Linked DNA regions of Elephas maximus indicus. The protein of the gene in region 1 interacts with the protein of each later gene in a pairwise test. Links are inferred from orthologs where the notes say so. Each region holds a gene or a part of one and is shown in the gene's direction. Other genes may lie near its edges.

Region 1 (3,745 bases):
CGAAATGCATCCTCTTAACAAGATGAGGAGTCTTGGTGGCTGCAGTAGTTAAAGCGCTCAGCTGCTAACCAAAACGTAGGCAGTTGGACCCACCAGCCGCTCTGTGGGAGAAAGATGTTGCACTCCGCTTCCCTGAAGATTTACAGCCTTGGAAACCCTATGGGGAGTTTCTACTCTGTCCTATAGGGTCGCTATGAGTCCAATCGATTCCACAGCAATGGGTTTCGTTTGTATTAGCAACTCTTAAACGGGAATTACTGTTAAGGGCACACGCCCTTGAGCAACCATCACACTGCGCTGAGCTCTTGAGAATATTCTGGAAGCATCACCATGAACGGCTGCTTCCCTGCAGGGAAGAGAAATAAAATTCAGCAGAAGCGGCAGCTTTTGGGAGGAGATACACGGTTTGCCTTTTAGAACGCTTTTCTACTGGAATGGGTTTACAGAGAGCAACATTCCTGTGGAGCTTTAAATCTGTGGACCGTTGAAAATCGCCCCGCCTTTTTTGAAGTTACAAAATACCTTCTATCTATGGGGAGGCGGGAATAAAAAGTTTGGAGAATTAAACGCCTAAGACTTCAGCTCACCCAAATGACATACATGCAATAGCATTCCATGAAGAACTTATTCAACCCAATCCTGTGCACCTAATTACCCAATGCACAGAAATTCAGACTCTCCAAATTTTGCACCCCCCCAAAAAGGAGGGAAAATGCAAGGGTGTTGGCTGCAGTTCCGGGACATACTGAGAACCACTTTGTTACAAGTGTATCCAACGTCCCCAGCACCAAGGACTTGTGGGGCGCTGCTCATTCCTATTCCACTTGCTCTGCGGCTCCCGGAGGTGGTGGTTGTGTAATGAAGACAGACCCTACCAAGCTGGTCGAGAAGATGATTCGCACCCCCAAGTGCTCCCGGTGTCGGAACCATGGCTATCTGGTGCCAGTCAAGGGCCACTCGGGCAACTGCCGCTGGAAGCAGTGCGCCTGTGAGAAATGCTACCTGATCAGCGAGCGCCAGAAGATAATGGCTGCGCAGAAAGTGCTCAAGAGACAGGCGTCCGAGGAGGAGCAGGAGGCGACCCTGGGCGCTCAGGGGCCTAAGCCGGCCACTGGGGCCGCGGCCGCCATCCCGGGCTCAAGCCTCCGTCGGCTGTCGCCCGCCGCTTCGGGGGACTCGGAGCCCAGACCCCACGGCCGTGCGATCTCTGGCTTCCCCGAGAGGCCCCCGCGGGGCCCCAGTCCGGGCCCGAGCGCCTTCCACCCGGTTGTGAGCGGCCGCAGCCACATGGGGCCGAGCGAAGGAGCGGCAGCTGCGATGTCCAGTTCCATGGGGCCCCAGCTGGAGGCAGAGGCCGCGGCCAGGGGATGTCCCGGCCGCCTGGAGCTGCGCAGGCCTCTGCGGCCTGTGTCCAGCCCACCGTTCGCCGACCTCGGTAAGATTCCTAGGCCCCGTGCTGCCTCAGCCCCACCATCCGTTCGTCTCAGGAGTGTAGTCTTCCTGTTCCCCGAGCTGGCGGTCCAGGCTCGCCGGGATCCTGCAGGGATGGGCCGTGGGGTTGGGAAGGTGGTGGAGGTGGGGAAATGCCTTCCAAGGGTAACCTTCGTTTGAGAAGCCTTCCTCAGAACATGGATTGGGTTCAATGCGTTTTTGCAAAAAGGGCAATAGAGCGATAAAAAGGTATGGGTGGTCCGGAGGGCTTTTAATATTCAGCTACAGGGTTTGCCTTGCCATTTTCCAAGAAAAAATGGCCCCCACGCCAAGTTGGCGTTGGCTCCTCCTCTGCTGAGACTTCCGGAGCTGGTGCACCCCTTCCCGCCAGTGGACTGGAGGCTCCTCCCCCAGCGCTTCCCTGTGGTGGCCTGCTCAACTAGGACTGCGTCTGCGCATCCTTCCCTGCCCTCCCTTTGTGTAGGCTGGAGGCTCCTCCCAGAGGACCGCATCTCGGCCGCACCCTGTCCAGTGCGCCTGCGCGCTCCTTCCCGCCCTTTTCTTGGCCTGGAAGCTCCTCCCCCAGGACGTCACTGTAGGTGGGCCGGCTCAAATATAACCGCGCCTCCAGGCAGTTCCCGTCCTTCCTGGGACCTGGGGGCTCCTCCAAGACAATGCGCCTGCGCGCCCCTTCCCGCCTTTTTCTTGGGCTGGCAGCTCCTCCGACAGGGCTCCACTCTAGGTGGGCCGGCTCAAATATAACCGCGCCTCCAGGGGGTTCCCTCCCTTCCTGGGACCTGGGGGCTCCTCCAAGACAATGCCCTGTGCACCTCTTCCCGCCCTTTTCCTGGATGTGGCGGGAATGAAGTTGCTTTCCTGGTGCAGCCTCTGCTTACACAGGAGGGGCATAGTTGATTTGAGAGCTTTTTGCCGCTTTTTTTTCTCTTCCACATTGTGCTTAAATTGCATTGTTATGTCTTGCTGTTTTCAGTAGTAAAGTACAATTTTAATCACACAGATTTTGTGTGTGTGCTTTAGGTGAAAGTTTAAAGAGCAAGTTAGTCTCTCATCCAAAAAATGATACACAAATTGCTTTGCGGCATTGGTTGAAATCCCGCATTGTGTCACGCACTCTCCTCCTTTTCAGTTTTCACCCCCAGATCACTTTCCATTTGTCCAGTGTTGTTTGGGGGCAGGTGTTGCCCATTTGATCTCATATTCTTGATCTAAGAATAACGTTCCTTATGTGTGTTGTTTGTTTTATAGGCCTGCCTAGTCTTTGGCTGTGGACTCCTGGGGGCAGTGGTTAAGAGCTCAGCTGCTAACCAAAAAAAGTCAGCTGTTCAAATCCACCAGCCACCCCTTGGAAACCCTGTGGGGCAGTTCTTTCTACTCTGTCCTGTAGAGTAGCTATGAGTCAGAATCGACTCCAAGGCAGTGGATTTGGTTTTTGTTTGTTTGTTTTTAATCTTTGGACGTAAGGTGAACTTCAGAAGTGGCTTAAATTCTGAGTTAGAAGGGTGTCCAGGGACCGTAGTCTCCTGGTTCCTCCAGTCTCTGTCAAATCAGCAAGTCTAGTCTTTTTTTTGAGAATTTGATCTTTGGTTCTACATTTTTCTCCTGTTCCGTTCAGGACTCTCTGTTGTAATCCCAGTCAGAGCAGTTGGTTGTGGTAGCCGGACACCATCTAGTTTTTCTGGTCTCTGGATTGTGCTGGCTTTGGTTTATGTGGTGCATTAGTCCTTTGGACTAATTGCCCCCTTGAGTCTTTAGTTTTTTTCACTCTCCTTTGCTCCTGACTAGAAGAGACCGGTAGTTGTATCTTAGATGGCCGCTTGCTAGCTTTCAAGACCCCAGAAATACTCTCCAAGTAGAGTGTAGAACATTTTCTTTATGAACTATGATATGTCAGTTGATGTAGATGTCCCCTGAGTCTATGGTCCTTTGCCTTTGAGCCTGAGAACTTCATCCTGTAAGGTGTCATGTCTAAGAGGTTTCCCTGACAGTGCTACTTGTGTGCTCTATCGTCTGTATTAATATATGAGGAGCACCTACTGAAATTTAGAAATTTCTACCACTGAACCTGTATCTGCCAGTGGGTGCAATTCACATACAGATTTGAGACTTTAAAAAAATAAGCCTTTAGGTGTGGACATGTGTTTTCTTGGTATTTTCCCTATGGCAGTGTGGTAGAGAGCGCACAGGTCTGAGTCAGGAGGCTGGGTGGCAGGCTCCTTATCTATCAGTTTCTCTCCTCTGGATGCTCTCAAAAGGCCATTTTGACTTCTAGGACATTCTAGAAAAATCTGGGTCC
Region 2 (3,745 bases), on another chromosome or scaffold:
GATTTACTATTTGGATCTTTACAGAAAAAGTCTGCTGACCCCTGGCACCCAGAAATACTCACAGATGGAAAAGCAGAGACCCAGAGAGGAGAAAGGACTTGACCAAGATCCCACGGAACTGAGGTCCTAATTCGATTGCTGCTGAGTCTGGCAGGGCTGGGTGAAGCCTAGAAATCGATCAAGTATAACCCTGCCCCCAAAGAACTCCCACCTGGAGAAGACACACGGAAGAACAATTACAAGCTAGGTGGATCAGGGTTCAGGGTATCCACAGTGGGGTGGAGAAGGGGAGGGGGTTTACTCGGTGCTTCAGAGAATTCCTTTCAGGGCTTGGCCTAGAAGGTGAGGTGCTCCCCAGGTGAAGGAGGGCAGCAACAGGGCATCGTCGAATCTGCTGGGTCCTGAGAAATGTTGGTTTTACACTCACACCCTGGGGCTCCGGCAAGAGGGCCATAGCCCAGATACGTTCCCTGCCTCCAGGCCTCAGTCTACCCATTTGCACGCATCTTAGTGAAGATTTCTCAGGCTCCAGGCCCTCCTGTAAGCACTTCACCCGGACAAGGTGGCACTCTCCGGGGGGCGTGGCCGCGCGGGGTGACGTCACTTGGGCGGGGCCTGCGGGACTCGCTGCGGAAGCCTCGGAAGAGGTCCGGGCGCTGCGTTCTGCCTTGAGCGGGCGCTTGGGAAAGGGGGACCCGAGGAAGGGACACCTGGGCGTCTCCCCGCCTCCGGGCCCCCTAGATTGCTGGGATGATCCCTCCATCCTCCGCAGGAGAAACTGAGTCATGGCGGGGCGTGCGTGGGGAGGGGCCCACACAGGAGCCCGGCGTCGCATCCCTACCCCAGGCTAGCGCCGCTCCCCCCACCCCCGCCCGTCTCCCCAGCCCCCACCCCCCTCCTCACCCCACACCCCGACCCTGCGGCTGTGAGTCATAGGCCGGCCGCGCCCCCTCGGACCACTTCCTCCTCACCTTCCCGGGGCGGGCGGTTAGAAGGGTGGGACCCTAACCACCCATCCCCCTCCTGTACGGGATAGGGGACTCACCCCCCCAGTAACCCCTCTCATAAACAGAGAAGACAGAGACGTTGGGGGCTCCGAAGGTGGGGTTTAAGGGACAAAATTTGAGGGAATCTGTGTTTACCCAGAGGGTCCGAGCCCTCGCCCCCCAAAATTTAGCAACATGGAAAGAAATGGAGAAGTCAATGGGGAGGACGAGAGGGGAAAAATTGTGCCCGTTTCGATCGCCCTAAGAATTTCCATACTGGGGGAGACATAGGGATCGTGAAAGGATCCCTTTCCCTTCTACCGAGCTACCCCCCCAATTTTTGGGTGACCCCCGGAGTGCACCCCTATGCACTCACATTGAGGACAAGGAAAATAGCGGAAGTCAACGGTGCCGCGTTGCCCTTTTAAGCGCCCTCCACCCCCAGCCTTGAGGCAGCCGCGGCCCCTTTAAGGCGCGGGGCATTGTGGGTGCGGGGAGTGGAATTTTGGAACGAAATGTAGCGAAGAGAAGTACAGTAGTAAGAGTAACATTGTAGCCGCTGCCGGCCGAGGGGCGCGCCGGGGAGGGGACGCCGCACCCCCTTTCTGCCGTAGGGACCCCCATCAAACCTCAGGGGGAGAAGGCGACCGAGGACCCGCTTCGGCCCCGGCCACATTCCCCCCAGGAAGCCGGACTCTATGGGGCGGGACCCTGGGGGAGACTGAGCAGAACCTGGAGCCAGCCCCGAACCCCTGAACAGCGAGCCAGGGGCGCCCCGGGAGCCTTCACCCCGTGGGCGCGCCACCCGCCAGTGAGCAGCCATGAGGTGAGCCGCGAACTGCAGCCCGACCCTTCCCCGCCCGGCGCGGGCTCCTCGCCCTGCCTTTGTCCCCCCTCCCCCAGCTCGCTTGGGGCTGGAATTTGGGGACCGGGTGCTAGGAGCCTTAGATTTGGGGCCGAATCCCCTTGGACGAGCTTCAAATACTGGCCACCTCCCCCAGACTCCTAAGGTTCGGGGTGATGCCGGTGAGGTTCTCCTGGGAGCCCTCGCATTTGGGGGCGCTCCGGCGGACTCCCGAATTTTAAAGACTTTTTCAGGGGACCTCTAAGTTGGCGAATTCTCTCCGCAGAGATGCCAGAATTTAGGCAGACCCCAGAATCCCCCCAAACCTCAACTCGGGGTATGGGAGGGATCGGCTTGGGGACTCTGGAGCCTGGGAGAGAGGCAAACACGCAGACCCCTGTTAGCGGGGTCCCCTTTTACGTGGCGCTGGAAAAGTCTCCCCAGTTGGAACCGCGCTTCCTAACTTCAGGGGTACGTCTTAATCCTCTAAATTTTGGGGGGGAGGGACACTAAGATCCTCTTGTGGAGGAGGTCAGTTCGGACGGACTGATGGACCCAGACGCAACCTCGAGGGTCTGGCTGGGACTCCCCTCCCGCGCCTCTCTGCACCCACAGGGTTCCCGAAACAGGCCGTGCCTAGGACAGAGCGAGCGCTCTGTGCGGAGGGCGGTTCCCCGCCCTCAGCCAGCAGGGCGGCCCTTCTCCCCCACCTGCGCGGCCCTAGAGAGGGAGGGGGCGCGGCAGCTGGGGGAAGGGGGGCCTTTGTCTTTCTGACTCACCTGTCGAGACAGCTGGTGTGGGGGGCGGGCAAAGAGCGCGTTGGGCTGGCAGCTCTCCTCACCCCGGTCCCTTACCTACCCCCCCTCTCCCCGCAGCCTTGCCGGGCCCTCGGGAGCTGTGGGGTTGGAGGAAGGGGCGCAAGAAAGCTTCAAGGTCATAGCCTTCTCCCCCTGGGACCTAAGCTTCCCAGAGAGTTCCAGTTATCTTCCCAAGAATTTAATCCTGAGGGTGAGGGGCCAAGGCACCCAGGGATTGTGTCTTCATGAGGCCTCCCCTAAAACTCCCGGGCTCACCTGAGGGTGGGGCTAGTGCGGGAGCTGGGCTAGGGGAAGGGACTCACAACCCTCCATAATCTCTCCATTGGGGCTGGAGCCTGACAATACTATCTCCCTTCCTCCACTCTCTCTGGGACTTCCTGCCCCAAAGCCCCCAGCCTAAGGGGGAAGGCCCCAGGGGACTGCTGGGGATTAACCCCCTGGTGCCCGCACACTCCCACTTCCCCTACACCCCTGCCTCTGATATTCGGGTGGCATTCCTTTCTATGACCATTAGAGAACTCTCTTCCCGATTGTTCCTTCTGCTGGGAAAGGGGTTGTTGGAAAATTCGGAGCAAGGGGGCACCCACAGACATCTTCGAGACTTCCTGTCTAGCTTTCTCCCTGTTATAGCAGTATCCCTTGAGGTCTGCCCTGGAGAGGGGGCAGTTTGCGGTCTTCCTTCACCCTCTTCCCCTGGGACGGGACGCTGCTCTCCCACTGCCCCCCCCAGCCCCGCCTCTTGTCCCCCCCAGGCGCGTTTCCGGTCCCAAGGAAGGCGGATGGCGGATGTCCGAGTTAGTGCTGCCTCACTCGCTGTGAGACCGTAAAAGGGCAGGAGCAGCTTCTGGGCCGGCCTCCCGCCCTACCCCCAGCCCCGAGGCCCTGGCCCTCCCACAGGGCCCCCTCTTGTGATGGCTGTGGCCAAACCTCCCACCTCCTGGGGGGTGGGCAGAAGTTGATCCTATCCCACTAGAGGGTCACTCCCACCTCCTGCAGGGTCTCCCTTTCTGGGCTCTGCCCCCTCTCCAAGGACTAGGATTCAGGAGAACCATGCCTCTATTCCCAGCTGGGGAAACTGAGGCTCAAAGAGAAAACCA

Evidence for each region.
Region 2: the proteins of DMRTB1 (region 1) and VASP interact in a two-hybrid assay, tested with the Homo sapiens proteins (2 studies listed by BioGRID and IntAct). The two-hybrid records come from large-scale screens. The link is inferred for Elephas maximus indicus from reciprocal best matches to the Homo sapiens genes DMRTB1 and VASP.

The regions. Positions count from the first base shown.
Region 1 is NC_064821.1:96,788,967-96,792,711, forward strand, and holds the start of DMRTB1 (doublesex- and mab-3-related transcription factor B1), read left to right. Parts: upstream 1-858; coding exon 859-1,435; intron 1,436-3,745.
Region 2 is NC_064829.1:104,187,867-104,191,611, reverse strand, and holds the start of VASP (vasodilator-stimulated phosphoprotein), read left to right. Parts: upstream 1-1,481; 5' UTR 1,482-1,807; coding exon 1,808-1,812; intron 1,813-3,745. UniProt on the Homo sapiens protein: Ena/VASP proteins are actin-associated proteins involved in a range of processes dependent on cytoskeleton remodeling and cell polarity such as axon guidance, lamellipodial and filopodial dynamics, platelet activation and cell migration.